Linked DNA regions of Cricetulus griseus. The protein of the gene in region 3 purifies or fractionates together with the protein of the main gene of each other region. This does not show direct contact. Links are inferred from orthologs where the notes say so. Each region holds a gene or a part of one and is shown on either strand. Other genes may lie near its edges. The genes, in order: Strn, Pdcd10 and Fgfr1op2.

Evidence for each region.
Region 1: the proteins of Fgfr1op2 (region 3) and Strn purify together in Homo sapiens (affinity purification with mass spectrometry; 4 studies listed by BioGRID and IntAct, with this or other methods). This does not show direct contact. The link is inferred for Cricetulus griseus from reciprocal best matches to the Homo sapiens genes FGFR1OP2 and STRN.
Region 2: the proteins of Fgfr1op2 (region 3) and Pdcd10 purify together in Homo sapiens (affinity purification with mass spectrometry; 3 studies listed by BioGRID and IntAct, counting the BioPlex papers as one, with this or other methods). This does not show direct contact. The link is inferred for Cricetulus griseus from reciprocal best matches to the Homo sapiens genes FGFR1OP2 and PDCD10.

What each region holds. Positions count from the first base shown.
Region 1 is NC_048600.1:5,366,686-5,377,403, forward strand, and holds part of Strn (striatin), read left to right. Parts: intron 1-2,774; coding exon 2,775-2,950; intron 2,951-4,919; coding exon 4,920-4,967; intron 4,968-6,329; coding exon 6,330-6,451; intron 6,452-7,628; coding exon 7,629-7,796; intron 7,797-9,845; coding exon 9,846-9,986; intron 9,987-10,718. UniProt on the Homo sapiens protein: Calmodulin-binding scaffolding protein which is the center of the striatin-interacting phosphatase and kinase (STRIPAK) complexes.
Region 2 is NW_023276806.1:78,248,142-78,258,959, reverse strand, and holds the start of Pdcd10 (programmed cell death protein 10), read right to left. Parts: upstream 5,378-10,818; 5' UTR 5,226-5,377; intron 1-5,225. UniProt on the Homo sapiens protein: Promotes cell proliferation. Modulates apoptotic pathways. Increases mitogen-activated protein kinase activity and STK26 activity. Important for cell migration, and for normal structure and assembly of the Golgi complex.
Region 3 is NC_048601.1:3,103,679-3,114,396, forward strand, and holds part of Fgfr1op2 (FGFR1 oncogene partner 2), read right to left. Parts: intron 6,992-10,718; exon of another isoform or gene 6,973-6,991; intron 4,202-6,972; 5' UTR 4,200-4,201; coding exon 4,065-4,199; intron 1,815-4,064; coding exon 1,697-1,814; intron 455-1,696; coding exon 312-454; intron 1-311. UniProt on the Homo sapiens protein: May be involved in wound healing pathway.

The DNA.
Region 1 (10,718 bases), on a different chromosome or scaffold from region 3:
CAGTTTATGCATTATAGTTAGATCTTGGTCCCACTGCCAGTGGCTTCATATACTGCTCAAGCCATACCATTGCCATTAAGGGGTCCTAGTTCAGACAGTGCAGAGTCAGTGATCTCTCACTAGCTCTGGGTAGCTGTTTCTGTGGGTTTCTCCATCATTGTCTTGACTCCTTTTATCACTCTTCTTTCACTTTAATTGTACTCCTGGAGGTTGGCCCAATGGTTAGTTATAGATCTCATTTGCTTCCATCTGGGAAAAAATATTTTTAATAAAATAGAAATAGAAAACTATCATCTTTTAATAGCTCCACATTCAGAGTTTGGGCTGTACAGACTGGCTCGTCTGTGTCATACTGATTGCAGTAAAGATACTGGCATTGGTATGTTCTCACTTGAGGACTTGATGTGGAGAAGACCAAGCACTGTCAGAGTTGTTGGCAGGCTGTGTGGTTCATCGATGGTCATTGGCTGAAGACTTTAGTGTTGTATCACATGGTCCCTTGCATGGTATCTTCATGGCATCTAGTGTTCACACTCGAGTACATGTGTAAAGAGAAATGCAGTAGCTCCATGATTACCTTGGATTCTAAATCTTTTCATTAGTCTCCCAAGTTCTGGGATTGCAGGAGTGTCACAGCCATTTTAACATTTTCTGTTTCAAGTATATAAATCTCGTTTCCATCATCTCAGTGAAGAAAGAATTAAAGTCTCAAAACATGTTAAAAAAATGATTGTATTTTAAATTGACAAACTGTCTTAAGATTTCTATTGCTGAGTTGAAACACCATGATCAAAAGAAACTTCGGTTGAACAGGTTTTATTTCCGCTTACAGTTGCATGTCACAGTCTGTCATTGCAGGAAGTCAGGGCAGGAACCTGAAAATGGGCCAAAGCAGAGACAGTGGAGGAATGCTGATAGTGGCTTGATTAGTCTGTTCTCTCTCTCTCTCTCTCTCTCTCTCTCTCTCTCTCTCTCTCTCTCTCTCTCCTTAATTTTTGTTTTATTAGTTCAAATTAGGAACAAGCTTGCTTCAGACGTCCCTTCTCCCTCTCCCTCCCCTCCCCCCCAACATCCCACCTGCCCCTAGCCATCCCCCCTCCACTTCCCAGGCAGGGTAAGGCTCTCAAAAGGGGATCCCCAAAGTCTACCACATCATCCTGGGCCAGGCCTAGGCCCTTCCCCATGTGTCCAGGTCAAGAGAACATCCCTTCATATGGGATGGGCTCTCAAAATCCTTTCTTTTTTTTTTTTTTTAAGACCTTACATATTTAATACAGTGCGTTACCCCTGTACAAATGGAAAAAAATTAAGTTCAACATTTCTAGAACAATATGGGTGTTAATTTTTGTACAATGCCAACTGTTTTCTTAAAGCCCAGGACCACCCACCTAGGGGTGGCATTTGCCCACAGTGAGCCAGGCTTTCCCACATCAATTACCCATCAAGAAAACGCACCTCAGCCTTGCCCATAGGCCCGTCTGGTGGGAGCATTTTTTCCCGTTGAGATTTGCTCTTCCCAAATGGCTCTAGCTGGTTGACACAGTTGACATAAGACTAGCCAGGACACAGGCTTAAAGGGAAAAAAAGAAAAACAAAACAACAACAAAACCCAGTGCTTTGATCCAAATTACATTTTCTGTCTACAGTTTGAGTTGATTTGCTTGATTTTGAAAATACTCTAGTAATTGTTCAAGCTTTCTGTCGCTGTGAAGTAATAGCGTGAAACAAGTGACCTGTTAGGAAGGAAGGCTTGTTTGTGTTTCAGTCCATGTTGGTTGTAAGTAACCTGTTAGGAAGGAAGGCTTAGAACCTGTTAGATAAGAAGGCTTGCTTGTGTTTCAGTCCATGTTGGTAGGGCCAGTCACGGTGAGGTACAAGATTCAGAAGAAGTCACTTGCTTCATGGTGTTCAGGAAAGCAGGAGAGGAGAGACCTGGGCTTCTGCTTCTCCTAAGGGAGACCTTTCAGTGATGTCACTGTCGTGTCTAGGCTGCATCTGCTAAAGACTCCACCTCCTGGGAGTGCCACAGGCTGGTGACCAAGCCTTCATGCACATTCAGGGTCGAAACTGGCAATAGTAGAGATTCATTTGGGATCATCACTTACCTACAGTTTAGCTTGAGTTATGTTAACTGTTCTCATATTCCACATTTTTTATTTCTTCAATGAAAACTGCCACATGTTGCTAATTTTGCTAATTAGTTTTGTTGTTTGCTTTAAAAATATATTATTTTAATTGACGTGAGGGAGGAGCGATAATATGAACAAAGGAGACAAGACCATGATGGGGAAACCCACAGAATCAGCTGACGCAAGCTAGTGAGAGATGACTGACAAATAGGGAACCTGCATAAGACTGAACTAGACTCCTTAATATAGGTGACAATAGTGTGACTGGGACAACATATGAGGCTACTGGCAGTGGGTCCAAGATCTAACTCTAATGCACAAACTGACTTAGTGGAGCCCATTCTATATGGAGAGATACCTTGTCCAGCCTAGACACAGGGGTGTGGGGGTGGAGAGGTGCCTTGGTCCTGTCTCAATGAGATGATGGGACAAACTTAGTAGACTGCCTAAGGGGAGGCCTTACCCTCTCCATGGAGCAGATGGGAAGTGTGTGGGGAGGGGGAGGAGAGGAGAGGGGGGACTGGGATTGGAATATAAAAAATAAATTAACAAAAAAATTTAAAAAATATTGTTTTGAGAATTGTATAGTGTAATAGTTTATTAGCAAATCAGCTATTGCAACTTGATGTTTTATTTCTTTAATAGATAGCAAATAATAAAGATGCTTTGAGGAAGACGTGGAACCCCAAGTTTACGTTAAGAAGTCACTTTGATGGCATCCGTGCCCTTGCTTTCCACCCCATCGAGCCCGTTTTAATAACAGCGTCAGAGGACCATACACTGAAAATGTGGAATCTGCAGAAAACAGCCCCAGCCAAAAAGTGAGAATATTCTACTTTTACTCTTTTTAAGGTTTAGTTAAATTATTTATCAACAGGGAAAGACATATTTTAAGATAATTTTCTATTATAGTTCCCAAGTATCTCTCTGGTCCTTTATTCTTTATCATGTCATAGGTGAGTCCTCCAGACAGTCTAAGGGCTTTTATCTGATGGTTCCCAGGGGTTTGTGACTGGTGATTACAGTCCTTATATTATGCATAAGGGTTTTAAGTGGCTGTTTCATTTATAAGTGGGACTTCTTGCCTGTAATGAAGATCCCTGTTAATGTAAAGAGATATAAGTAGAAACACATAGACTCACCAAACCTCTGCTCTATTATTTACAAAGTTTGGATTTACAAGGTGAAAGAAGTGGTTAGGAACTTCTCTATGCCCTTAGCTTTTTCTCTGACAAGTTTTCATACTAACTAGTTTGTCTGAACTGAGGGATACTGTTTTCTTTGATTAGTTATTCGTTCTTAGTTTGGTGTATAAATGCCAGCAGGCACGCTGTCCTATAAACTGTTTCCTTAGTTCCCAAGCTAGAGTAGGTCTATTTGATGAGGCCTTTCTAGAGCTCACCCTCCATGAATCCATTCCCTTCATCCAAACCAGCCTCCATCAGCCAGGATCATTTCACTATGTGAGGCATAAGAGTACAACTAAGAAGAGTACAACAGACTGTAATACAGGGCACCACAGACGTTGTCCTGCCTGTAGAAGAGATTTCTGCTGCCCAAGTTAAAAGGCACCAGTAGCATCAGTGCCGTGAGTCACACAGGACAGGCAAAGTGCTGGATGCAGTGTGAGCAGAATTCAGATCAGGTCAGCAGAGGGGGTATTCCCTTTGATGTGCTGTACCTTTGCCTTTCCATTTCTCAGGTCACAGTGTGCTAGTTCTGGTTCCAGCTCAGTCACATGGAGCTAAATGTAAATGTCCAATTGAGGAAATAGCAGAAACAAATTAGCAAAATATCTACACATGCACATAATAGTACCCTAGTTATCTTTGAGCTGACTTGAGAAATGATAATGTGTATCTACAAATTCCTGCAACATGATGTAGAAAGTGGTGAGTTCTTGCCTTCAGCCAGTGTCTGTGATGAATCCTTGTCTGTTAGGTAACAGACACGCAGAGTCCTGATTTTAGTAATGAATTGATGGCTTGGGCAGTTTCCACAGAATCAAGGATAGATATATTAGCCTTCATGAAAACACAGGGAAGTTAAAGTACCGCTTGCTGAAATCCTGCTGTGTATAGTTCTGGTCTTAACTTTTTTATTATATTTAGATTCTCATTCATGTTGAATATTTGGTACTATCTAGATTTCATTTTATTTTAAATATAGGATAATTTGAAGTTCTGAAATAATAAAAACTTCCCTGCATTAGTTAATAAGTGATATAACTGGAAATCATGTTCTGAAAATTACCCTTCACGGTCCTTGTTTTCTCTCATGAATGATGTTCTCTCCCATTATTGGACAAATTCTAACAGTGTGAAGAGTCTGTAACATTAGTGGAGGAATTATAACAGTGTGAGGAGTTCTGTGTGATATTAGTGGAGGAATTGTAACAGTGTGCGAAGTATGTGTAACATTAGTAGATGAATTGTAACAGTGTGAGGAGTCTGTGTAACATTAATGGAGGAATTGTAGCACACTGTGTGATATTAGTGGAGGAATTATAACAGTGTGAGGAGTCTGTGTGGTATTAGTGGAGGAATTGTAGCAGTGTGAGGAGTCTTTGTAACTTTAGTGGATCAATTGTAAGGAGTCTGTTTAACAAGGTACCACTGCTAAAGTGGGAGTTTGCCCATATTTTGAAGATATAATTGGGATTAAATGAGCCTCTGTATCCTGAGGCTGAAGATGTTATTACCATGGAGACCACGGACCACATACAACTTAGTTATGCTGTTCACTGCTGAAATTTGGCATGCTTAAAGTCATCTTCTTTCTCTGGTTTAGGAGTACGTCTCTTGATGTGGAGCCTATCTATACGTTCCGAGCTCATAAGTAAGTATGTGGTTTTTCTTTATATTAAACCAGCATCTTTTTAACACAGTTTGATTGATATTATACATTCTTTCCCTTACATATTTTAATATAATTTTTCTATTTAGTAGTGGTGGGGCTTTTTTTTTTTTTTTTTTTTGTAAATGTAAAAGAACCTGGCAGGTAATATAAATACCAGGTTGAGTTCCTGGTATGCATATGTATTATAAATGGAAGTCAAGGTATTTAGGTTTAAGTACTAGCAATGCTAGCACTGGGTACTTGCTGCTCCTCCAGAAAACTGGAGTTCAGTTCCTAGCAGCCATGTGGAGTGGTTCCCAACATCTTGTAACTCCTGTGATCCAACACCACTCTTCTGGCTTCTGTGAGCACCTGTGCAGAGGTGACATACAACCACATGTACAAATAAAACATTAAAATAATTTTTAATAGGATTCTCACATAGTTTCTTCCTTAAACATAACCTACATAAAAAGTATTCAAAGTGTGGGGATGTAGCTTAAAGGTAGAAGGTTTGTCCCTTGTATATGAGGCCCTGGATTTCCTCCTGAGTATTGTATGCTCACACACATGCCACTTAACTTGCATTTTTAACCAAGAATTGTTTATAGTAATTACATATTTTCTTTTTTCCACTTATGTATAAGAGACATGTTTTCTCTCAATTTGTTACAGACATTGAAATGCTTTTTATGTAATGGGTGAGAAAGTAAATATTTTTCAGGCTTAGGAGACCATATACTCTTGGTGAACTTTTTTGTCCTCTTTTGGCTTTTGTTATGGATTGAACTAAGGGTCTTAATTCATGTAACATATTCTTGGTTTTGTTGTTGCTGTGTGTGCCGCTATTTTAACCTTTAAAAATGTAGAAAGCATTCATAGCCTGAACTACTAGATGAATTTGGCTTCAAGGCCATAATTTACCAGCCTTTGGTTTGGCAAAGAAAGAAAATGAGTAGTAGTACTTCATTAATGTGGTTTTTTGTTGTTGTTTTGTTTTTTGGTTTCTTTCTTTCTTTCTTTCTTTCTTTCTTTCTTTCTTTCTTTCTTTCTTTCTTTCTTTCTTTCTTTCTTTCTTTCTTTCCCAAGACAGGGTTTCTCTGTGTAGCTTTGGAGCCTATCCTGGAACTAGGCTGGCCTTGAACTCACAGAGATCCTCTTGCCTCTGCCTCCCGAGTGCTGAGATTAAAGGCATGTGCCACCAACACCTGACTCATTAATGTTTTTAATCATTGTTAAAAGCTAGTAAGTAGAAAGGCAGTTGAGTAATTAGAGGTTCTAAGTCTTAACAAGTTACATTGTAGAACTGACATTTGAGAATAGCAGATTACTTGACACCTATTGATCTATTTGATGTCCCAGAGGTCCGGTGCTGTGTGTAGTGATGAGCAGCAATGGTGAGCAGTGTTACAGTGGTGGTACAGATGGGCTGATTCAGGGCTGGAACACCACCAATCCCAACATCGATCCCTATGATTCTTATGGTATGTGCTTCACTGAAGTTCTGAAAAGATGTTGTCTTCTTACATTATTTTCCTAGTATACATTAAGGGTAAAATTATTTACTGGTATTTAAGAGACCAGTAAAGAGAAGTGTATCTTTATGTCATTCAGAAGGATTCCTGTACATAACAGGAATCAGCAGGATACTTAATGCTAAAGGTAAAAACATGATGTCCTTGGGAAGAGAGTTCATCTCTGTAGTCTTATTAGACAGAAATGCTGGTTTGGTTGACGCTTGCTTTCTTGATGTTAGACATCTGTCTGGTACTTCAAACTTTGCAACTCATCTGCAGTCATATTTCATTATTGTTTTCGACAAACAACTTTGAAGGTAAATGAATGGTGACATCATTTCTTTGCTCAGTTATTGGAGGGAAATGGGAGAAGCTAATTAATTTTAAAGTATGCCTCCAAAATATTTATTATAAAGGGTCCTAAAAACAGTTAAGGATTGGCCTCTCAGCTAGGTTTAGTGGTATAAGCCTGTAATCCCTAAACTTGCCAGGGAGAAGCAGGAGAATTGCTGTAAATTTAAACTGGCCCGGTCTATTTAATGAGTCTCAGACCAGTCTGAGTTTTAGAATAAATCCAGGCTGTCTGTCTGTCCTCCCTCCACCCTCAACACACACACACACACACACACACACACACAACACACACACCACACACACACACACACACACACGCATGCACACAGATGCTTTGGTTTTAAGAGCAGTGTTATGGCATGAATTCATATTATACTGTGTTTCTAGATGTTGCTATAAATTCCCTTGTAAAACTATTTAGAAATGGGCTGCTTTAAGTTTGAAGTTAATACAGAATGGTTTAATATGTCATGTTTGCCACTAAAGCATTGTAATGTTACTACCAAACTAAACACAGAGTCAGCAAACAAAAATCTCTCCTTACATTTATTTAATAAACGTTAAAATAAAGCTTTCTTAAGAAATCAGACTTGTGGTTCTTAATTCTAATTTAGAATGTTCAAGATCTGTATTTCCAAAACTGCTTGTAATTACGGCAGCATTTCAGAAGATACTGAAACTAGAAGACTGCGTTACACTGTGTCTGGGTGCTCTGTCTTATGTTTTACAGTGGATCCTAAATGCCTTGACAATTTTTCTTTCTGGTTTTGCATGTGCTCGTTTTCCACAGATCCTTCTGTTCTGAGAGGCCCTCTGCTGGGCCACACAGATGCTGTGTGGGGGCTGGCCTACAGCGCGGCACACCAGCGCTTGTTGTCCTGCTCAGCAGATGGCACTTTACGTTTATGGAATACAACCGAGGTTGCTCCGGCACTGAGTGTGTTTAATGATAACCAAGGTATAGTCTTTAAAGTTAAACACTTCCAGATCTTTTATTAAACATTCTACTCTGAAAAAGCAAGCAAATAAATGATTCTATAAACTCTTGAGTGTATAAATTTTAAGGCTTTTTTTTTTTTTTTTTAACGCACCAACATTGTTGCTTAACATTTCAGTGTATGTATAATTCTTAAAAACAGCATTTGAGGGGCTGGAGAGATGGCTCAGTGGTCAGGAGCACATACTATTCTTCCTGAGGACCTGAGTTCAGTTCCCAATGCCCACATCAGGTGGCTCACAGCTGCCTTAACCCCAGCTCCAGGGTGTCTCACACCTCTGACCTCAGTGACCTTCATTCATGTGCACATACCACACAAACATACACACACAATTGAAATAATAAAAAAACTCAGCATTTGATGAGAAGATGGGGTTTACATTTTAAAAAGTGAGACGTAATTTATTTTCCTTGAAGATTGAGGGCATCAAGGATGTGTTCTGATGCGTGAGGTGAACTGGTGCAGTCCTGGCGCTGGTATCAGTCTGGAGTGGGACCATCTCTTCCCTTCCCTGGGCTGCTTTGTGACCTTAGTCAGTCCCTGTTACATATCCCAGCTAGCGGCACCTGTTGTCAAGATCACTTTCATCATAGATTAGTTTTGTCTATTCTCACCTATAATAAAATAGCAGTTTAGGATGTTATCTCTGTGCCTGGCTTTTATTCTACTGTAACGTTTGTGCAGTTCAGTGTCAGTTGATTTCCCTTTATTATGTGAGAGTATTGTATTAAGCTATGGTCTGTCTATTCATGTATCTCCTGATAGACACCGAGGCTGTTATGAGCAAAATTGTTATAAAAAGTCATAATTTCCACGACCTATTCATTTATCTGGTAGTATTTACTGTTGTTCCAGTGTGGGCCTATTAGGAATAATTTATTATGAAGGTTCATAAATTTTCATCATGGGTAGTAGAGACCTTTCAGTAGACTTGTTGGGTTTTAGGGTGGGTGTTTTGTTGTTAAGTGAAATGACCACATTGTTCCCAGAGTGCTCATGGCACTTTATAACCTGGGCTGCAGCCTGTGTGAGGTCAGTTTGCTCTGCATCCTCACTCAGTCTTGATGTTGTCACTCTGGTTCCCTTCTGTTTCAGTGTTTAATTCTTTGACAGCATATTTGGTTGAGTACCATTTCTTGCTTTTCATTGACTATTCCTAGAACTTCTGCTGTACAGTTTTGAATCATTACCTTGCTTTGGTTAGGTGTTGACCCAAATGAAACATTATTTTATTTTTATATTTATCATTCTGTTTGTTTGTTTTCTTGTGACAGTGCCTCACTATGTAGCTCTGGTTCACCTTGAATTCATTGCCCAGGCAGACCTCAAATTCACAATCCTTGGGCTTCCACTTCCAAGTGCTTGGATTTAAGGAGTATGCTACCACACTGGCTTTATCATTCTGTTTTTGGTATAAATGAGTTCCAAGTTTGTCCCCTGATGATAACTTTTCGTGTTTGTGTGGTGATTTGCATGCTAGACAAATATTCCACCATTGAGTTACATTCCAGGCCCAGAACAACTTTATTCTTCAGCAAAGTCACAATGTGCACTTAGACTTTGAAGACATAACTCTGTGCTAGCAAGCACAGTACCACTGAGCTGCACTCCAACCTAAGTTTGGATTTGTTATTGTTGTTTTCTTTTCTTCAAGATGGATTTTTAAAATACTGAATTTCCACTGTGTTACTCTATGCTTGAAATGGAAGTGGAAGCTATAAAACTTATGGTCCATGTGTTTTATTTTCTTTCAAAATAAGTTTGCATTCTTTGAGTGGATTAGCAGAATAATGGGTAGAAAACATTTAACAGGTAAGGATAATAAAATAGACTAAGGCTAAAAGTTAGAAAAGAAATACTCTTCTGTGAACAGTTCTAAAATAACTTATTCTGATGTTAAGCCTGATTGATTAAAGTAAATCATGCTTAGTTTTGTTTTGCTGCATTTTGAGTACTTTCTCAAGTAGACCTTTTAACTGTCATCCTCTCTGAATATTTCTGACACTTAGAACTGGGAATCCCTGCTTCGGTGGATCTCGTGAGCAGTGACCCGAGCCATATGGTAGCATCATTCAGCAAAGGGTATACAAGCATCTTTAACATGGAGACACAGCAGCGAATCCTCACTTTAGAATCCAAGATAGACTCAAGTATGTATACCAATCTTTAAAAGTCTCTCTATTTGTTCTTAATCAAAAGTGTAACTGCCCAAGTCGATGTGAAGAATGATTAAATCATAGTGTTCTATTGCCCAAACCTAAAGACACTTTTACTTTATAGAAAACTTTTTTGGGGGGGAAGGGGTAAACTTCAGCACAGTCTAAAGCAATCAAAACAAACAACAGAAAAACTGCACCCAAAGAATTTATTCCATGTGGCCACCTGGCATTTTCTGTTGTATATTGAAATAACTATAAATTACTATAGTAATTAATATCTTCAAAAATTCTTAGATAGTGTACAACAATTAATTAGTATGCTTAAAAACTCAAAATCTGGTGGGTTGCAAGATGATGGTCTTTTCTATTATGATGCAAAGAGGAACAAGTAAGGAGGCAAAGCCCTTGATTTCATGATATATTTAGATCACAGCTACCTGAACAGAGCTGCATGTTAGAAGGGACTGAGGTTTAACTTTGAAGATTATTTGTATATTGGTGGTGTTTGGTTTTGTTTTGGGAAAGGATCTCACTGAATCTCTGGCTGGCCTGAAACTCACAATGAAGATGAGGCAGGCTGCTCTCGAACTCATAGAGATCCACCTGCCTCTGCCTCCCAAGTGCTGGTACTAAAGGTGTGCACCACCAATGCCCTGCTGATAGAATTCTTTAAGGTAGCAAACATCACAAAACGTGTAGACTTGGATGTCATCCGTGTCTCTA
Region 2 (10,818 bases), on a different chromosome or scaffold from region 3:
TTATTTTCCTTGTTCACAAATTGTAAATAATAGAGCTCTTACTTCCTCTGGCAGTTGTAAAAATTGTAGGTGGGCATTCCAATGTAGATAATTTCACACATAAAACATACCCAACAAATATGTAGGTGAATGAACCAAGGGATTATTACTATGAAATTCAGACTTACCTATGGTAAACTTGTTCCCAAGGGACATTCTAACTGAGGAAAAGGGAAGTTTTTTTAGTGCTTACCGAATACTGCAGTGTGACCCAATGATAAGAATTCTTTGTGTCGCCCCCCCCCCATCCCTAAAGCAACACCAGATTCTAAGTTACTACAAAGTAGATTAAATAGGTTCAAATCTCTTTGGCATAGTTTTAAAAAAATGGAATCTCATACTCCAAATGTAAATGTGTCCTTGAAAAATAATACTATTAATGTGATGGCCAGCCAAGTTGTGTTGTGTATCTTAAATGAAATTCTTATGTTTATATAAAATTAACTATGAAATTAATCAAATTTCAGCAAATAAATTACCTCTAATTGCCTCAACGGAAACGCTTTCATTTTTGTTACTTTTGAATGTGTATAAATATTTTATTAATAAAGTATAAAAATCACACCATCTTCTACATGTTTCAGAGGAAAAATTCACATATATGGCTTAAAATTCTTAGTAACAATACCTACTGTAATAACCCTAACATTCTAACAACATATAAATAATAGCTTAGCTTAATTTCCTGCAAACTGCGTAAGTGAAATAAAGTTTTTATTGATGATTCAAATAACATTCAGACTAACTTTTTAAAAGTACCAGGTTTAGAATTTAGTACAGACACATTCAGTAATAAACCTTAGTACATTATCAAAATTTAAGGCAGCCACTTTTGATACTACTCTTTTGGTAAATGTGAATGAATAAAAGGCTAAGTAATTCAGAGCTGTTGAATGTACTTTATTGCAATAGTGTGGTAATATGAAAAATTATACAATTTGTTTTCCAGACAAAAATCTAGCCTACTATATCCTTAAAATTTCGTTTGTAAAATTTTAAAAACACCTTTAGTCTTGTGTCATATTCAAAGCTAGTAATATATTATCTTAAACCCCTCAACTATAACTTTTAAGGAGGGTAAAATATAAGTTCCTCTGAAATTAGAAAGTTGGTTTCCCAAAAACATCTTTTCTCAAGAAGCTTGTATTAAATCCTGGTTATAACCAAAACCAAACAAAACCTAGGAAGCACAGAAACAGGTCTAGCCTCAAATCTTGGCTCCAGTCCTTCTAAGACTTCAGCAATTTAATTGCATTCTAGGTTGAATGTGTAAACTTACTTCTATCTTTGGTGTCCTGGGAGCTAGGCAAGTGAAATAACTGTTTTGAAGAGAAAAGAAAAGAAAGATAAAGGAGAGAATAGTGTCCATTAAAAGTTTTTTTCCATGTCTATATTTTGTTATAATGAATCTTGCTTGTTTTAAAAATACAAGGCAGTGGCAAGTTTTCTAAAATGCTGAGCTACACAGAAATTTTGCCGTTAAAAAAAAAAAAGAAACCAACTCCTTTATGTTTCCACAATGAAATTACTTACCTAAACTTGAGAGATCTCCAAGAAAAAGTACTTTTATATACTTTACATTAAACTTCTGGCATTAACTTCTTTATATTTTTCCTAAATTCATTTGAAAATTCCTGTATCTTCATTCATTTGTATATTTCTATCCCTAGCACAATACTGGAGGTACTATGCTTGAACATACAATTACTGAATACTCTCTGCTAAATAGTCTAAGAGGTAGGCTAAGTTCTAACAAATGAGAATCCCTTGTCCAGATAACCTTTAGTAAGATGACCAAATATTAAATCAGTATAGAAATAGTAAGTTCCTACTGTGACAATGCCAATAGAGTTCAGAATACAGGGAAGACAGAGCAGCAACCTATCCTGGTTTGCAGAAGGAGGATTCAGAGTAAGCCAGGCTTTGCAGGAATCAACCACACTGGGAAAGGGAAGATGAAATAGGACAGGTGGAGAGGTCGGATTTGTAAAACGGTCCCCAGATCAGAAAGTATCTTGTATTAGCAAAGTAATAGTTGAGGATAAGATTGGAGCCATTTGGGACAGAAATAGAAGACAAACTGGTGGCATTAAACAGAGTAAGAGGGTCATGATATCTAAACATCTGTAATGGTCTGTCTTTTTCTTACATAAAACAATCACAGTTTTGAGCAGAATACCTATTGTCAAAAGACCTGGATGTGTTATAGATCGTATGACATTGGGCAAGTCATTAAACCAACCCAAGCCTTTTCTACTCTCTGGAGCCACTCAATTATTCTTCAGCTGAGGCTATAAAGATAACTAATACACCGCTCTTGTTCTTATAGACTACCCTTTAAGAGAGAGATGACTATATAAGGAAGAATTCCAAAGGCCTACGAAGAATAATATCTGAAAGTTGATGCAAAGCTACTTTAGAGAACAAATGTGGGCACCAAGAGCTGAACACTACAGGTAAAACAAACCACTGTGAATTCTAGCTAGCGACTGAAGGATTTTAAATACAGCAATAACATCATTCATTTCAGCACTACAATTGTAGTGATCAAACACTACAGGTAAAATGGACCTCAGAGACACAGATACATTTAGAGTAGACAAGAACTAATTTTTTCCTTTTGATTAAAAAATTCTCTCCAGGAGGCTATCTTAAATGCTCTAACCCCTATAATGAGATTGATGGCTACCTTACATGCCATTATAGAGCCTTCATCCAGTAGCTGATGGAAGCAGAAGCAGACACCACAGCTAAACACTGAGCCGAATTCCTGGAATCCAAGTTGCAGAGAGGGAAGAGGGATGAGCAAAGGGGTCAAGACCAGGCTGGAGAAACCCACAGAAACAGCTAACCTGAACAAGGGGGAGCTCATGGAGCCCAGACTGATAGCTGAGAAACCAGCATAGAATGGAACCAGTCCCCCTGAATAGTTAGGAGGCCTGGGCAGTCTATGGGACCTCTGGTAATGGAACAGCATTTATCCCTAATGGACCATTAGGTCCCAATAGGCCATTGGGAGCCCATTCCCCATAGAGGGATACTCTCTCAGCCTAGACACACAGGGGAGGGCCTAGGCTCTGCCCAAAATGATGTGACAGACTTTCATGATCCCCATGGAAGGATTCACCCTTTCTATGGAGCAGAAAAGGGATGGGATGGGGGTCGGTGGGGGGCATGGGAGAATGGAAGGGAGAGGGAACTGGGATTGATATATAAAATAAGATTGTTTCTAATTTAAATTTTAAAAAGTTAAAAAAGAAAGTCTTTCCAGAACCACAAAGTTATGTTAAAACTCATTTCATACCTTTCCCACAAACAGCAAATGTCCACAGTCATCTAGAAAATATATTGGCATCCTTGCTTTACAAGTTTAGACTTATATATGGCCCACTCAAACTAAGGCACCATTTTAATCTACTTCAAAATCAACCCCACATAATTTTCCTTTTGTTTAGTTGCTTCTTCCTTATTGTGTATTATATGTATGCAGCGTGTTACATTCCTGATTTCTGTCTCATTCTATAATACCATACCTCTCCATTTATTTTAAAGGTCAGAGTAAAACAAGTCCATATTAAGTTGAACCATAGAGGAACAAAGATTCTTCTGACCCCAGAAAAGTTTTGCATTAAAAAAATCAAATAAATTGTTAGTATTAATCATGGCAAGCAAAACATTCAAAATATTGTGTATTTATTTACAGTATATATGTATTTAATATTTTAATTTACATAATATGATGCCTACTAACTATAAATATGCATGTTTATGAGTATAATCTTATAAAGGAACCTTGTCTTCAATAAAAAAGTACAATTCTATCAACAACCTATCTAGTAATATCTATCAGCTATAATTAGTCAACTTGTTTGAAACAAGTGCATTGCTTTTTACTCAATATACAGGCATCCTTTTTTTTCCCGTTCTTTAACATTAAGAATGAATTAAAAGTCACAGATGATGCCAAGAAAAAGAAAATGCACAAGTCCTGGTTTTTACTACTTACACATGGAGTGAAGAAAATGAGAACCAAAAACCTCAGACAGAAAAAAAAGCCATTTCAGGTAACGACCATGTTATAACTTCTCCATGATTCTGCATTTAATTATCACTCAATGAAAACATTAAAATGTGTAAAATAAGTTTTGTCAAAGTTTCATCCGTACTTTAATCTTAGTTTCAGAAATCAGGAAAGGACTATTCTCTTAATGGCAACGCTGAGCTTATTGCTAAATATTACCTATCTTTTTGGCTCATGGAAGTTGTGTTATCATTTAGTATGTTTCGGAAAAAGGGTAAATATCTAAGCTAAAAAAAAAAAAAACAAAAAACAAAAAAAAAAAACAACCCTTCCCTTTTTAACAAACCGTTAAAGAAGATTGCTTTGGGAAGGATTTCACTCCACCCCAAGCAACCAACTCTTCACCTCCCAAACGTTTCTGAGACGCACACTCAACTTTGCAACTTCTTTTATCCGCTTCGAGCACCTACCAAGCAACTCCCCACTTTTCTATCTAAGCAGACAACTCTGGTCAGAACCTGGACTTTCAGCGGACTGGATTCAGAAGATCTGTGTGACCTTGGACACGTCATTTACTCCTTTAGTTTTCTCAGAAGCATCCCAAAGCGAAAGCGCTTTTGAGTACAGTTCAGGAGTAAAGCCATCTGACGTATGAGAGTTAAAAGGGACAAACACTTCTAGTTAAGAGTTACCTCCTTAGAGAGGCCACATCAGGAAACTGGAACTGAGTCGGAACTGTCAACACCGGCTCTCCTCTTTCCTCAAAGGGCATAACCCCAGTCACTCCGGGAGCCGACTCCCGGGCTCCCACGCTCTCTCCAGGCCTTACACAGCTCCAGCCTCACCTGCCGGGGACCCCACCCCAGCACATCCGCCCCCTCTGTCGGCGGGGACTCGGGAGGCCGACCTCACCCTTCCCCTCCGCTCGCACCCACAGCGGACTTCCTGGAGGTGCCGGGCCGCGCCGGGTAAGCGGCATTTCCAAACCGGCTTTACGCACCTCGCGTAGAGACCTCGCTGACGCCCAGAGGGCCCCGCTCCCCGCCCGTCCGCCCTCCGGCCAGAGCCCAGCCCCAGCGTCTCCGCCTCGGCCCCCGCCTGACCCCAAGCCGCGCTCGCTGCCCGGCGGAGCCGTGAGGACCCGAACCGAGAAAGCTCGCCTTACCAGCAACTGAGGCACGGACTTCACTTCCCACCTTTGGAGCCCTCTTCAACTCCCGGATCAATTCACTCCGGCGACGCCGGAAGGACCCGAGAGGAACCAGGCGTTGTCCGGAATCCTGCCCAGCCGGAGTCGCGCAAGGCCCGATGGGGATTCGTAGTTCCGCCCGCCAGTTCCGTCAGCACTTCCTGCAGACCTAGGACCACATTTCCCAGAAGGACCCGCAAGAACGCCTAGGGCGATAGGTGGGGACACTTGTAGCGAATAAGAAAAGAGTTCCCTGCCTTCACGGGAGGAAGGGAGACGGAGAGGGAGAGCGCCCAGAAACGGAGGAAGGGCGGGGCCGGCTCTCACCTGCACCAATCAGAAGGCAAGGCCGGCCCTCAGACGCCGTGCCCACTGATGGGCGGGGCTCGCAGATGAGTGGAAGGAAAGGGGCGGGGGACCAGAGGTGGCAGGGGACGGGCAGCTGGGTTGGGTGCCTGGGTAGGCTGCGAGGAAGCCTCTGGGGACTGTGGGGGGTGGAGGAGGGAGGGTGAGGCGTGGGCTTCGCTTGGGCTGAAGCGTCAGTACTCCCTAGGACAGCCCACTCTGGTGTACACTGGGCCGGCTCACTGAGGGGGCTAAACCTGACCTGAGAAGCTCCAGGTGCGACTCAGGGTGGGTGGGTGCGGTGGGGGGAAGGGGGGGGTGGACAGAGAACCAGGAGCCGAGACACTTGCTTCAGTAAGGCTTCGCGCCGCCTGCAGCTCGGGTTGCGCAAACGGCAGAGGGAGGAGCCGGAGCCCGAGGTCCGGCCAACTAGAGGAGGGGAAGGCGGAGCTTGAGTCTCAGTAGAAGCCTAGGCTCTGCTTGCTCTGTAGTTTCCCCGGAGAGAGGCAGGAGCAGGATCCTGAGCGATCACAGCCCGCCGAGCATCCTCTCCAGCATCCCGAGCCCGGGAGTGCAGGTGTGCGGGAGGTAAGCGTGGGTGCCCCTTGCCGGCGCCAGCACACCGCCGGGGGAAGAACGGCATCTGACAATAGGAACGCCAGGGCAGAGCTGAAAGAGTGTTATGTTGGCTTAAGATAGCATTGCAACCCCTTTCAGGGGAACGATGTGCAATTTTGGACTATAGTTGGGAGAAAAAGGCAAAAGGTAATTCCTTCTGATGTATAAGGGCGCGGTTAGTGATTTTGTTTTGAGTTGCACCATTAAAACTGGTCTGGGAGATCCCAAGATTGAAGAAAGCCCTGTTAATTGAGAACCAGGTGGACAGTGTCTAGATAGGTGCGTAGCTGATAAAAAAGCAAAAATGGCATTGATATAGAATCACTTCGGAACTATTTCGCTAGGAAAACAACTTTGTTCTCTTCAGTGCCTGCCGCTTGTGTTGGTTTATCAGATTGTTCTGCTTCGGACCTGTTATCCAGGGCGATTATGTATTGCAGGTTCCTGGGATTGCAAAAAATCTGGATTAAACAAGCAAATAATAAGATAGGATGGGTTTGGGCTGAACCTATCATAAGTATAACTTTTACCGCAATAATGAGAGAATAAATTTGAATAGTGGTTAATTTAGCGTTCCTTCCCGGCTGGCGCTGGAATATTGAAACAAAGACCTGGATTCAGCCTACAACAGAAACATATGGTGTACTTCATCGCTGCTCCTTATTCTCTCATTTGTGTCCGGTAAGGTTTGTTCGTCTTTTTAAAACAGGAGTACAAGGGAAGCTGTGTGGAAGAGCTTTCCTCTGTTGAAGAGAGTAGCTGTAAAATGATAACCTTTAGTATGTTGCAATGGGTTCCGATTATATATACATATATATATATATATGTATATGCATGTATATATAGTATAAAATGATAGTTCATTCTCATCATGTGTATACTTTTAAATGTAAGTTTAATAAATATGGGTGGAATTATGTTGTAATACTTGGTGAAGATAGTAGTCACCCCTACCTCTGTGTAACTAGGACAGATTACAGCCTTTTCGTTTTGAAAAAGTAGTAACAGTATATCAGCTTAGTTCATTTTGTTGTTGTTACATAGTACCCCAGATTATACTCCTATTAATCATAATAGCATATTGCAGCATATCTCCTCTGGAATGCCTTTATTTTGACAGTTGACTATCCCATGGGATGTCAGAATACTTTTATGTTTTTAAAAGAATGGTCAATAAGATCCAGTAACTACCTTTTATTTTTTTCTGTTGTCTTGCTATTCTGATTTACTTTAGGATTTTGTATTTTGTTTTTGTAATGCATACAAAATGCCTTTTTAAAATGAAGTGGCCCAAAGATATTCTTTCCATGGCTTCAGGTTCAGTCCTAGTGATTTCTGGTACTGATGAGAAATCTACATCCCTAAGTTAATTAAATCCTTCCCTCCTACATTCTCACATGCCAAAGAACTGTGTACCAGACAAATCTGAAAAAATAAAAATAAAACAAACAAAATTATCTAGGCTTAGAGTGAATGGATCATGGAGGTATGAGAAGAAGCAAAGAGCTTGTAAGACAGAAAAAGCAACAGAAGCCACTAAACTTAAGCAGCCACATTCAGGATGTATATTGTTTTTGGTATACTACTGGAGACCTGTTCATTGGTGTAGCCATCTAACCGGTGTGATCTCCAAACCATGATTTGGGGAGAGAAAAATGTGATCTGGTGGTTTAGTAACACTTGGAAAGGATGGTACTTGCCCTTGTTATTTGTGATGTAGGTGCATAGTCCTGAGTCAGAGTCTGCGATGCTATGGCTCCACGGCTGGTTCATTTGGAAATTGAATACCTGTTGTCTCTAGGTTATTCCCTGCACATAATGGAGCGAGTTACATGACTGATAATGAAGTTCTTCAGAACCTTTTTTGAAGGACCTTCAGATAGAATTTTTGATGAAAATCAGTCAGTAACCAAGAAAATGGTTAGAAGATAATTGGCAGGAAAACAGCTGAAATGAAGATGCATTTTGAGTCTCTCCTAGCTATATACATCTTAGGTCTGAGATACCATAACTACAATCTCATAGATTGTAATTTTAAAGTGTAATCTTTCCCTGTTTTCAAGATTGGATTCTTTTAAGAATTCAATGAATGAGGCAAGGTTCTTGTGTCATTTTGGGATTAAGTAGGACATATTTCTACATAAGAGCAAGTCATTATTAGCATATCATGCTTGGACAATTATTTTTAACCTTGAACTCTTCATCCAATTTAATTGATGTTCACATTCTATTTCAAATAACCAAAACTGTTTTCTTGGTTAGTGTTGGGAAAGGCCATTCACTTTATGTAAATATCAACTATGATTAAAAAGCAGATTATTTATCCTGCTCATCTGACTTTTTGTTGTTTATGTGTATGGTATGATGAAAAATAAAGACAGCAGAGTGCAGACTGCCTCTCCTGTATGGAAACTACTTGGAGATGACTGTCCTTTATCCAGAGGACTTGGTTAATTTCAAATAGCATTATTTTTCTGACCTCTCTTTAAATTTAAATAAAATTCTGACTGTAAGCCTACTGAAAACTGAACCAACTGGAATAAATTTCTAATAAGAGGTTTGGTGACTGTCTTCGACATCAGAAAAAATACAGGTTCAAGATCAAATGGTTTTGGTGTGAATGGGACACAGAAAAATAGATATTTAAAGAAAAATAATGCTTGAGAAGTATACCCTTGGCAGGAGAGAAAAAGATGCTTGATGGGTTTTGTTAAATTAATGTAAGAGAATATGACCTTTCCTTTCTCAACCACCTATTTCTACAAACCTACATCCATAAGGTAGGCATTACTTTTTTACCCTTGTGAGTCACCAAGTCACTAATACATTAAATTTTAAACAATTGTAGGTTGTAAAGGCAAAACAAATACATCATGCTATTATTTGGACAAATTTTTTAAAAGAAATGAAAACTAAAGTGATGTTTATTCCCTTAACAGAGTTATTTAAACAGTCAATATAAACAAGGACCAATTATTTTATTTTTACAAAATTTCCTAAGGCTAAATACTGGTTTGGAGATCTGGATCAATTGTTTATTCAGATAAGAATTTGTTTTCCTTTTTTTAGTTATACAGCTAATATTTTCCACATTTCATCCTTAAAATTTGGGTAATTGTATTTTTTAATTTATAGGATGTATAAATAATCGTTTTCATACATGTAAAGCACTATATTTTTATTGTCATTGTCAGTACTGGGAATTGAAGCTAGGCCCTTAGGCATGATAGGTAAGCACTCCGCCACTGAACTATTAACTCATTAAATTTAGAATTTGAAATCTTAGGCTTTCATTGTTTTTGCTTGATAGGATGTTACTAAATTACTTGGGCTACTCTTGAAATTTTGATCCTGCTACCTTAACTTCTTCAGGAGATGTGGGTCTTAGAAACTAAAGCATTAGGCTGTCCAGGCCAGATGCTTCTTTGCTATCTCATGTTGATCTTGAGCAAATTCAGCAGAAGGAAGCTGCACTGTGACCACCTGCTCAGTTAGACATGTTGTCCAGTACTGTAATGTACTTGGTGAGACTTTTGTATTTCCATAGATAAGAAGACAGTTGATTCCACCTCACTGAGTGGGTACTGTGTAAGTTAGTTATTCTGAAAATGGTTCTGTTCTTATTAACTATTCAGAAGTGTTGATTCCAGCCAGATTTGATTCAGACTTCGTGAGCTGCAAAATTTTATCTACAATTTTGGGTGGTGACATTTTTAATTTCACTCTAGAAGGAGGAAGTATGATTGATAGGTATAACTCTGCCAGAGTTGCTCCCAAGGAGGATATTTCCCAGCCAGGGAAGCCTGTGTTTCACCTCCATTTACCATCAAGCCTCCTCCAAGGAAGACCTTTGCTAATGTCTTCCTTTTAAAACCAAATTTCATTGTGTCAAGTCTGAATTTGTTCTTCAGTTTCTCTAGTTATTTTTTTCTGCCCCATCCTCAGGAGGAGAAAGGTCCTCCTGTATTATTTAAGCATTTGTAGAATTGGATGTTAGATACTTTTGACTTGACATTTTAGAAAAAATATAATTTGTTTTTTGTCAGAATTAAAAATTTAGTATGGTAATTTTTTATCTTTTGTTACTAGACACTTGATGAATGCTAGTTAATTATAAACAATTGTTTTATAATGAAATTAATAACAGCAGTTATTTAGCTGGCTTGTGTTTGCTTTTAGCCAACATTTACTAACATGCTGATGGGTATGAGCTTTGGAAATGATGATTAATTGTCCTTATTTCTTTGACACTCACATGCTTAACAATGCCATGCATTGTTAGCTGAGTTCATAACTACCTTGCTCATCAGATATTCAGGACCTTTGGGATTCATCCAGAATCTCATTGGCTTTTTTATGTATGGTAAGAGTCTTATAAAAAGGCCATATTTAATGTGTTCAACTATTTGTCAAGCTATTGTATCATTTTACCAATAAGTTCAACTAGAAAAGTTCACCTTGCTTAAATACCTAATTTAGCACTGAATTCAGTCCTCTACCACAACAGTTGTCTATACTGACATAAGAATATACTGCATTTTGTTGGATTTCTGAATGAATAGAGCAAATATTGTCATTAACTTCAACCTAACATGGGATCTGCTGC
Region 3 (10,718 bases):
TGTCAATTAAAAATGTGAGGTATTTCTGGCTATGGTGACACATGCCTTTAGTTCCAGCACTCAGGAGGCAGAGGCAGAAAGATCAAGAGTTCAAGGCTAGCCTGGTCTACAGAGTTGAGTTCCAGGACAGCAGCCAGGGCTACACAGGGAAACCCTGTCAAAAAAAAAAAGGGGGGGGGGAGAAGGGGATGTAATTATATATCATATCACACCAATTTTAGATTTTTTTTTCATTGTTTAAACTCTAAACATCGATTAACCAATGGCCCCAATTTTCATTTCAAGTCAAATTCGTAGACTGGATTGATTACCTTTGAGTGTTGCTCTTTTAACTTCATTATTATACCTGGGTCGTCTTTTTTGCTGGCCATTAGCAATCTGAACATCTGCTCTCGGTACTTGCTCATTATCAGTTCCAAGGCAGACTGGTGCTCTTCCAAGGATGTTCGCAGTTCTATCGAGAACAATGTGCTTTATTGAAATGAGCTAAGATTATACTCTCCCAAATCATATTTACCAAAACACTGACATACATGACATCTTAAAAGAGACCGTGCAGCAAAGAAGCCCCTCACCACTTTTTATTGAAATAAAGGTTTATGCTGTGTGTGTGTGCATGTGTGTATATGTGTGTGGGTATGTGTGTGTATGTGTGTGTTGTGTGTACACACACACGCCATGGCACATGCAGAGGTCAGAGGACAATTTGCAATTGACTTTTGTCTTCCTCCAGGGGTTCCATCGGGTTCCAAGGATGGAACACAGGCTGACAGGCTTGGTGGCAAGTGCCCTTAATCCTTGGAGACATCTCTCATTAGCTTTTTAAAGTGTTCATTTAAAACTGTTTCTTAAAAATCATTTCAGAGCTATGAGGCTGGACTGGGGAAAGTTCCACAGAATTATCACACTGCAATGAACTTGAGCTCTTATGGTGAACGCTAGCTAAAGGAACGAGAATCTTCAGCAAGGAGCATGAAAGTGAAGGCTATGTTAGGAGACTGAGGTAGAAAGGCAAAACAAACAGTGTGGAGGAGAGCTGTGTGAAGTGGGCAGAAGAGAGACCAGCAACTGACAAGGAAATAAAATCAAAACAGAAGATTTTAAGCAAGGGCATCATGGCCACATTTATTCTGGGGAGTTTGGACTTGGGCTTGTGTTGAAGGATGGAGAGAAAGCTGACAGTGAAAGTCTCCAGGTACAGCAGAGCATATGAGCAGCCACACTGGGACACGGCAGGGAGTGGAGTTCAGTTCTTCACAGGTAACAAAATGGTGTAAACCAGATGTGAGAAGCAGCTGAGAAGAGGATAAGCAGGGCAGAGCACAGAGAGAGCGCCTCCTCGTCACACAGACCAAAGAAGGAGATTAAATAGAAAGGAGGACTTCAGCTCACTATTTCCCCACTTAAAAGAGGATTCTATTTGATTTCACGTGCATGTGTGAGTACCTACATTGTCTGTGCACCACATACATGCCTGCGCCCCAGAAGGGGGTGTCAGATCCTCTGGAGAAGGAATGATGGGCAGCCAGGACTGCCTGACGTGGGTGCTGGGTACTGAACCTGGATCCTCTGCAACAGTGCTCTTAACCACTGAGCCATCTCTCCAGCCCCTCTCCGATTTGTGAATATACTTATTAGTCCCAAACTAGTACCACAATGGAAGACTAAAGGTCTTTTTCACGACAATCTATCTTGCCTTTGTTCTCCTGTTGCAATTCTCTGATCTGTCTGTTTTCTTGCTGGATTCCCATAACTAGCGTGGACCTCGGCCGGTGTCTTGCCACTTCATTGAGTTCTTGGATTTCTTCCTGATACTAATGAGAAGATTAAAAAAAAAAAAAAAAAGAACACATAGGAAGTCAATATTTGCAAATTTTTACCTGCTATATGGATATAAATGAACAGACCCTTTAAGAGTGAAACAGAGGCATTACATGACCCAACATTCCTTCCTTAGGGAAAAGAAAACATCCGTAGTACCAATACTCATAATAGGAAAAAAAGAGGAATTAGAGTACCCACACCCTGACCCAAGAGAGAAGAAACAAGACATGCTGTATCCCCTAAAGACTGACACATACGAGAAACCAGATGAAATTTAAAACATGTCAATAGGCCAATCACAAAAGCCACACAGCTCATGTCCTACGCACACAAAGTGTCTACAGGTCTCGAACAGGCAAATCCACTGGGAGAGAGGTCAGTGGGAGTAGAGAGGGTGGGAAGCCAGAAACACACTGACCTGACCGGCATAGAATTTGCTTAGCATGAGCAAGGCCCCAGGTTCCATCCCTAGCACTGCAAGGGGCGGTGGGGGTAGGTTTGAGATAAAGTCTATTATGTAGCTCTGGCTGTTCTGTAACTCAATATGTAGACCAGGCTGGCCTCAAACTCACAGAGATCCACCTACTTCTGCCTACCAAGTGCTGGGATTAAAGGTGTGCACCACAACAGCTGGCTGGATTTTGAATTTTTTTTAAAAAAAGCAGGAATCTTAATTTTAGAATTATTCTTTTTTCTGGAGGCATTCTTACTGGATAGCTGGGAATATATTTACAGTAACACTCCTGGTTCTTAACTGCAGGTGTCAAAGTCCGATTGTAAAACACATCACTACCAGGTTTATGCTTACTGTCATCTGGACGGATGGTCAAGGAGCAGACCACTTTAGGGAGATGCAGGTATAAAACAGAGTAAGTGGACTTGCTCCAGTATTTCTGGTAACTTTTAAGGAGCCTTAGTTCAGGTTCTCCCCCTACCCTCTTGAGACAGGGTTTCTCTGTGTAGCCTATGTTGGCCTTGAACTCGGACTTGTGTCTGCCTCCCAAGTGCTGGGAATAAAGTTGTCTGCCACCACTGCCTGCCTAGGGCTGCTTCCTTAAGAGTTGGAAGTCTTTCTGGGGGGACAGCTTATACAGTAGCTGAACTCAATCATCTACTGGGAGTTTCCTCTACATGCCAGTAGCAAGAAGTAAAACCTACTTAATTCCTATTGTAAATGACAAATTTAAAACATGCTAGCAAAAAAAAGAACTTGAAATAACCGCACAGGATGAAAATTAGATACTTCTTTACATCATTTAAAAAAACTTATTTGGTTGCTGGGCGTTGGTGGTGCACGCCTTTGAACAGCACTCAAGAAGCAGAGGCAGGCGGATCTCTGTGAGTTCAAGGCCAGCTTGGTCTACAGAGAGTTCCAGGACAGCCTCCAAAGCTACAAAGAAACTGTCTCAAAAAACCAAAACCAACCAAACAAACAAACAAAAAACAAAGTAACACCCAAGTACTTTTATAAAGGAAAGTATAAACATCTCAACATTATATAATACAGCAAATATCTAATGTGTGCCAGTACTAGTGAAACGTGTTGTCTGATCCTTATCAAATGTATTTAGATTTAACAGTTTCACTTATTTAACTCAAATATGCAATTCTGTCAGAAGAGGGATGAAATTCATAGATTTTAAAATAAACCTATGTACTTGTTAGTGAACACGATTAATATACCCTAGTCCACAGTGAAGCAAACACACAAGTGATGCTATGTGAAGACTGCAATTAGAAATTATCTGATTGTTTACTGTGGTTTGAATGAGAATGGCTCCCATCCGCTCCACATCATCAGATGCCCTTCTTAAGCTTCCCCTAAGATTGTCCATTATTTAGAGAAAGGCATTTACAAATATCGTGTTCTGGCTGTTGGGATGCTCACAGATTTGAACACTTGGTCACCAGGAAGTGACATTATTTGAGAGGATTAGGAGGTGTGGCTTTATTGGGGGAAATGTGTCACTGGGCGTGGGCTTTGCGGTTTCATTCCCAGCCCAAAGCCTCTTTCTTCCTGTTGCCAGTGGATCTGAATGTAGAACTCTCAGTTACTTCTCTAGCTCTGTGTTGACATGCTCTCAGCCGTGATGAAAACTGTAAGCCAGCCCCAACTAAATGCTTTCTTTTATAAGAGCTGCCGTGGTCAGGGTGTCTCTTCACAGCGATGGAACACTGACTAAGACATTCATGACTTAAGTTTACTCAAATGTCGGTGAAGCCAGCAAGAAGAGTCAAACCTGCTTCATCGCTTCCACTCGCTTGCTGAGGGCCGTGGTCTGCTCGATGAGAGACTCTGCTGCATCATCATGGTCCCTCAGCCTCTCCACAAGGGCTTTGGCGTCAGCAAGTGCCTTCTCAATCGTGCAGCTCATTTCTAAAGGAGTAACAGTAAATAAGTTAAGACCAGGGCTTAAAGTCACCTTAGCTCCACATTATCACAGATGCCCTTCTTAAGCTTCCCCTAACATTGTCCATGATTTAGAGAGAAAGGCATTTACAAATATCGTGTTCTGGCTGTTGGGATACTATGGGCTTAAATGCAAATCTGACTGTAAGAATTCTCCCTGCTCTGTCCAAGTCTGAGCCTCCTCCGGGATGAGCTATGGCGTCTTATGTAAAGTGGCACCATCATCTCAATTCCTGCAGTTTCCACAAAGAATATTATTGGCCACTACAGGCAACTTTCAATGGGCTTGAAAGAGGCACTGAAGGGGATGCTGAGGTGGCTGAATGTGGAAGAGAAGCAGGAGGTGCTCAGCTGCATTCTGCAGGAGTCGTCAAGGGCAATGCTTAACAGCAGCAAGAGAGAGGGAGCCTTGAGGAGCCCAGGCTGGGGCAGCAGTGCAGCAGCATTGACACAACAACTGGGCATCTGCTGCATGGTGCCACAGGACAGAGGGCAAGCCTCCCCACTGCAAGATGGGGCGAACAAGAGTTCCAGCATCCCCGAGAGCACAGCTGTTGAGAAGCATAACCTGACACCCAACCGTGGTCTCAGTGGAGGCCGACTGACAGGCTGTGCTGATCTCCAAAGCATAACAGAAAACTGAAAAAACAAGGGTCCCTCCCTGTAACAGGGGGGTGGGGGGGAAGAAATGCCAGATATAGAATTCAGAAAAGCTGGGTGGATCTCTGTGAGTTCAAGGCCTGCCTGGTCTACACAGTGAGTTACAGGGCAGCCAGACTACACAGTGAGACCCTGTCTCAAATAATAAACAAATAAAAATTTAAAAAGCTCAGTTTGGGACTGCGAGACGGTTTAGTGGTTAAGTTTGCTGTTCTTGCAGAGGACTGTAGTTTAGTTCACAGCTGGTAGGCAGACACTCCAATGCATGTGTGCACACCCACACAGACAGACACACACATGTACATAAAAACTAAGAGCAAACAGCCCAATGGATCTAAGAAAATACAAAGTTGAGTGATGTTAGAATTATGGAGCACACAGCGAAGACCCTGAAAAAGAACTAAAGAGAAATCTTGTTTGTGTTAGAATCTAAGATCTGAAATCAATTGTCCAAGTCCTAACCTAGAGAAAGTAGGAAAAGAGCAGAATAAACCCCAAGTAAATAGAAGCAAAGAAAGTAAACACAGTAAAACTAAAGGTCCGTTCTTTAAAGCAAAGAGGGTGTGTGAGTGTTTATGGGGGGTAGAGACAGATACCAAGAGAGACTGAATAACCAAGGAGAGAGAACAAATGAAGAGCCAGTGGTGATGGCCCATAATTGCAATCCCAGTACCCAAGAGTCTGTGCTGCGGCAGGGCATCAAAAGAAGGAGTCCACCCTGGGTCACACAATCTGTCTCAACTCCCACGCCCTTAAAGACCAAGAGAAACCACTGCAGAGCCATACTTCACTCTAACATCTCATATACATGAATTAGATAATTTAGATTAAACACATCTGTGGTGGTTTCAAAGAAAATGGCCCCCAAAGGTAGAGGCACATTAGGAGGTGTGGCCTTGTTGGAGGAGTGTGTCACTGTGGGGCGGGCTTTGAGGTCTCTTGCTCAAGTTCCTCTCAGTGTGACAATCAGTCAACTTCCTGTGCCTCTGAGTCAAAATCTAAGGACTGTCAGCTCCAACACCACGTCTGCTGTCATGCTCCCTGACATGACGATAATGGACTGAACCTTTGAAGCTGCAAGTGAGCCACTCCAATTAAACGCTTCCTTTATAAGCATTGCCGTGCTTATGTCTCTTCACAGCATCAGAAACCTAACTAAGATTAGTTCTTCAAAACACACAAATGACATAAAGTCCTACAAGAAGAAATGAATAACCAGCAATAGACCTGTAACTATTATAGCCACTGGAGTTACATAACCACATTTCTACAGCTATTTTCTAACAAGTTTAAATAGTAAAGAAACTGGAGTTAAAAATATTCTGCACAAAAGGCTCCAGACCGAGAGAGCTTCAGTGGCAAGTCTTAAAATACACCAGAGCCGGAGACAGGGCTCAGCACTCACTGCTGCTCCTGTATCGTGAGCACCGTGGGTGGCTCACAACCATCCCCACCTCTAGTCCCAGGGCACATGACACCATTTTGTGAACCCATGGGCACTAGGCATGCACCTGGGGCACACACACACACACACACACACACACACACGTTAAACAAAACAGAACACGAGACAGGTAAAATCAGTGTCTGGTCCAGGGGTCAGGCCGGTCAATAGAGGCCCTATCTCAGAAAACAAAGACAAACAGGGATATACAGTCTCTTTAAGGAGATTAGAACACTTATATGGGGGGCAGGGCATGGTGGTCCACACCTGTAATCTCAGCACGCCAGAGCAGAGGCAGATGGATCTCGTGAGCTTCAGGCCAGTCTGGTCTACAAAGAGAGACCCTATCTCAAATAAACAAACACATAAATAAGAATAAGAGGAAAGAGAAGAAAAAAACCAAAAACTTTTAGATTCATAAAGCAATTCAGCATTTAAAAGATCTTAACATTACCCTATAAAAGGAATGAGAAAAACAAAATAAACCATAGAGCAAAATTTCTCATGAATTTAGTAAAAGACTAAATACTTTCCTCACTAAAATTATAACAAGGTAAGGATGCTCCAAATACCAATCTTGTTGAATTACCAGAGCAATAAGGACAGGGGGGAAAATGTCAACTGGGATACATACAAGAAAACTGTAGTTTGTAGTCCATGTTGCTGCATTGAAAATCCCAAAGAAGAAAAACAATTTCTCTCTGTGTGTTTTAAAAGGAGACAGGAGTCAAGTGAGCTGCACATAGAACACAAACGTGGGTGGGCAGGAGGTGGGGAGATCTGGGAGGAGCTGGGGGTGAATAAAATCAAAATACAGTCTATGAAATTTCAAAGACTAAAAATGTAAAACATAAAGTTCCTACAATCCATGATTTTAGCATGTCCATAAGATACAAGTACAAGCCCAAAGGATCCAAGAGACCAACTGTTCTTCCATAAGCTAGCAATGACAACTTGGAAACAGAATTACATATACAAAAATTACATAATGTATATTACATGGATTAACTCCTCAAAACCCACCAATGCCAAAAAGTCACAAGAAGAAATGAGCGTCTAATAATAGTCCTAGAACTATTTAAAATAGCTACATTTATAATTACATATACATTATAATAGACATAATAGATAAATGAAATTCTCGGGCATAATCAAATATATACAGGATCTATATGCTGGGAACTACACGTCAACAGAAAACATAGTATCTAAGTGTGTGGAGAAAATACTGTGCTCAAGGCTTTATAGACACAATATAACAAAGCCAAGAGATTTCCAGTCTAATGCAGCTAGAAGCTGACAAGCTGATTTTATAATTAATTCCTACAGAAAGCAAGGAAACTAGAACCACTGGAACTCTCTTGCAAAGATAACAAAGTGTACGATATAAGACTTGCTTTACATAAAGCATAGCAACAAGATGGCTGTGATACACTGAGACAGAACAGAGACCCAGAAATAGGCCCACAGGAAGGTAACCAATTTATTTCTGAAAATGTGCAAAGGGAGCTGAGTGTGGTGGGGTGAGTTCAAGGCCAGCTTGGGCTACACAGAGTCAAAAGACAAAGTAGCAAGGTGCAAAGGTCAAAGAATGTCAGGCACTAGAAAGACCGGCCCAGTGGCTAACAGTGCTGGCTGCTCAGCTATAAGGATGGCACTTCAGACACCAAGACCCTCGTCAGGCATTCACAAGTGTCACTAACCTGAGCTTCAATCTGAAGCCCTCTTCTGGTCATCAAGAGTGCCTGCACATCTGTGTACATTTTTTTTTTCTTTTTTGCTAAGGTCAGCATTTTTTCAACAAATGGAACTCAACACCTATATGCCAGAAAGTAATCCCAACACAGTTCTTACTTGGTTTATATAAAGCTCTATGGTTTATAGAAAGCTTTTCCCAAATGGAGCACAAATTTTAATACAAAATGAAAAATGCTATTATTATAAGGGGGAAAAAAGAGCAAAGAAAATCTCTGTAATCTGGAGATGGTCAAAGTTTTTTAGGCATGATACCAAAAGCATGAAACATAAAAAACTGCTGATAAACCAGGTTTCATCCAGATGGGGGTGGGGGAGGACTATCAGACAGCCAAGACAGTGTGGGAAACAAGCTAGACCTCGAGGAAGCATGTTCCAAGTTGTACTTCTGATGAATCACTCATAGCAAGAATAAGTCTAATTTTAAAAATGGCCGAAAGATTTTTTTTAAATCAGATTTATTATGTTTACAGTGTTATGCCTACATGACAGAAAAGGGCACCAGATCTCATTACAGATGGTTGTAAGCCACCATGTGGTTGCTGGGAATTGAACTCAGGACCTCTGGTAGAACAGACAGTGCTCTTAACCTCTGAGCCATCTTGCCAGCCCCGGCCCAAAGACTTTTAATACTTGCCCTAAAAGATGTTTACTGTCATTAAAGAAATTTAAAGGAAACGATGATGATGTCCATCACAACCCTAACTCAAATTGCTAGGTAACACAACTTAGAATAGGCTCCCCGCCCCCACCTTATGGGTGGGGCTCAGACCTCAGACTCGGGTTGTCAGGTTTAATTCAAAGTGGCAGCTCTATGGACCTAAGAACACCACCTTATCTTGCCATCTAGACAATGGGACAAGTCCTCAAGGACTCCAAATGCAGGAGCTGAGTGACAGCCAGGTTTGGCCGAGACCGGACCTCCACAGCCAGGCTGAACCAGAGGGCCCTGTTTGCTTCATGTTATGCAAACACTGTCTTAGCATCCTGAGGTGGGGAGAACAAATTCCCCAACTCCACAAGTGCAGCTCCTAAAAGGTTTAAAACTTTTCATTTCAAGTCAGCCAAGGAAGATGCATAGGAAGAACAATAAAAAAAAAACCAAAATTTTGAATATTTTTTCACATAACTATACAAATCCAGCAATCATTTTAAGTATATATTAAAATTAAGCAATGGATATGGTGGGCCTTGAGAGAGAATTACTTTAAAAGTGTTCTCTAGGCTGCATAGAGACTAAGAAAGTAAACTACATTTTCATATTTTAGAAGCATAAAAACCCATCTACACACAAAAAATTATGCAGACAACTCAACACCCAATTTTATTAACATTTCAGATAAACGGTGACACAGCTTCTGTAAATCTGTATACTCATTTCCTGTTTGCAAAACCTCAAAAGACTTAAAACTATTTTATAATATGAGTTTGCTTTGACTTCCTTTCTGAAAGGCTCTTTCTCTCCCTTTCTGGCTAGTAAGTAACGTGGGAGATATACTGTTCTTCACATTCTGTTATGCATCTTAAAAAACAGACTCCAATTTAAAAAGGAATATTTTCAAATTTACCTGCCTATTTTCTCAGTGCTTGTCTTAACTGGTCATAATATATTTATTACCTACAAATAACAGAGGTATGCTTTCCAGAAACAGGGTTTTGCTTCCTGCGTTAGCCACATTTTCACCCACTCCACAACTAACGCGTTTGCAGAGTCTCACAGATGGTCTAGAACATCTTGTCGGTGATTCAAGAGAAACCACCACCTACCCACAACAGCAACTGCCAGAAGTTTACTTTTAGCTTTTAGTTAAGAAAAATCTAAAGTTCAAGTAACTCTTGCTTCTTTTATAAACAAATCTACCAATTATCCGATTGTTGAAGATATACAAACATGGTATGACATATGACAGATGTCAAAAATTTACTTTAAAAGTTGTTATTGCTCAGGTAGGTACCTTTAATGTTAGTAGTTAGATAATATTGTATTAGCTAACTCATGGAAATAGCAAAGTAAAAATGTGTTTCAAGTCTTTCAGAGAAAGATTTTAAGAGCTCAAGAATGTTTGTAGCCAGTGCGGTGGTGCTCACCTTTAATCCCAGCACTAGGGAGGCCGCCAGCCTGATCTACATAGTGAGTTCTAGAATAGCCAGGACTATCTAGAGAGACCCAGTCTCAAAAACAAAACAAAAAATATATATATAAACTGTAGTTAGATTTCTTCCTTTGGGTTGCCAGCAGAGATTTATTATTTATGAAAGCTTGGCCGTAGCTTAGGCTTGTTTCTAACTAGTTCTTATAACTTAAATTAATATATTTCTATTCATCTACGGTCTGTCACACACTCTGCCCACCTTGCTTTCTGTCTCCTTTCATGTCCTCTATTTCCTTTCTCTCTGAGGAAGTCCCACCTATACCTCCTGCCTAGCTACTGGCTGTTCCACTTTTTATTACACTGATTACAGCAATATACCTTCACACAGTGTACGAATATCCCACAACAAGACACAACACATGAAAATGAGCATCTTGCATAGATGAGTACACTGTTTGAATGCACAGATAATTTCTACTCCAAGAATATGACTACACCTGGAGCTTTATGAAGAAAATCCATTCTTAAAAGT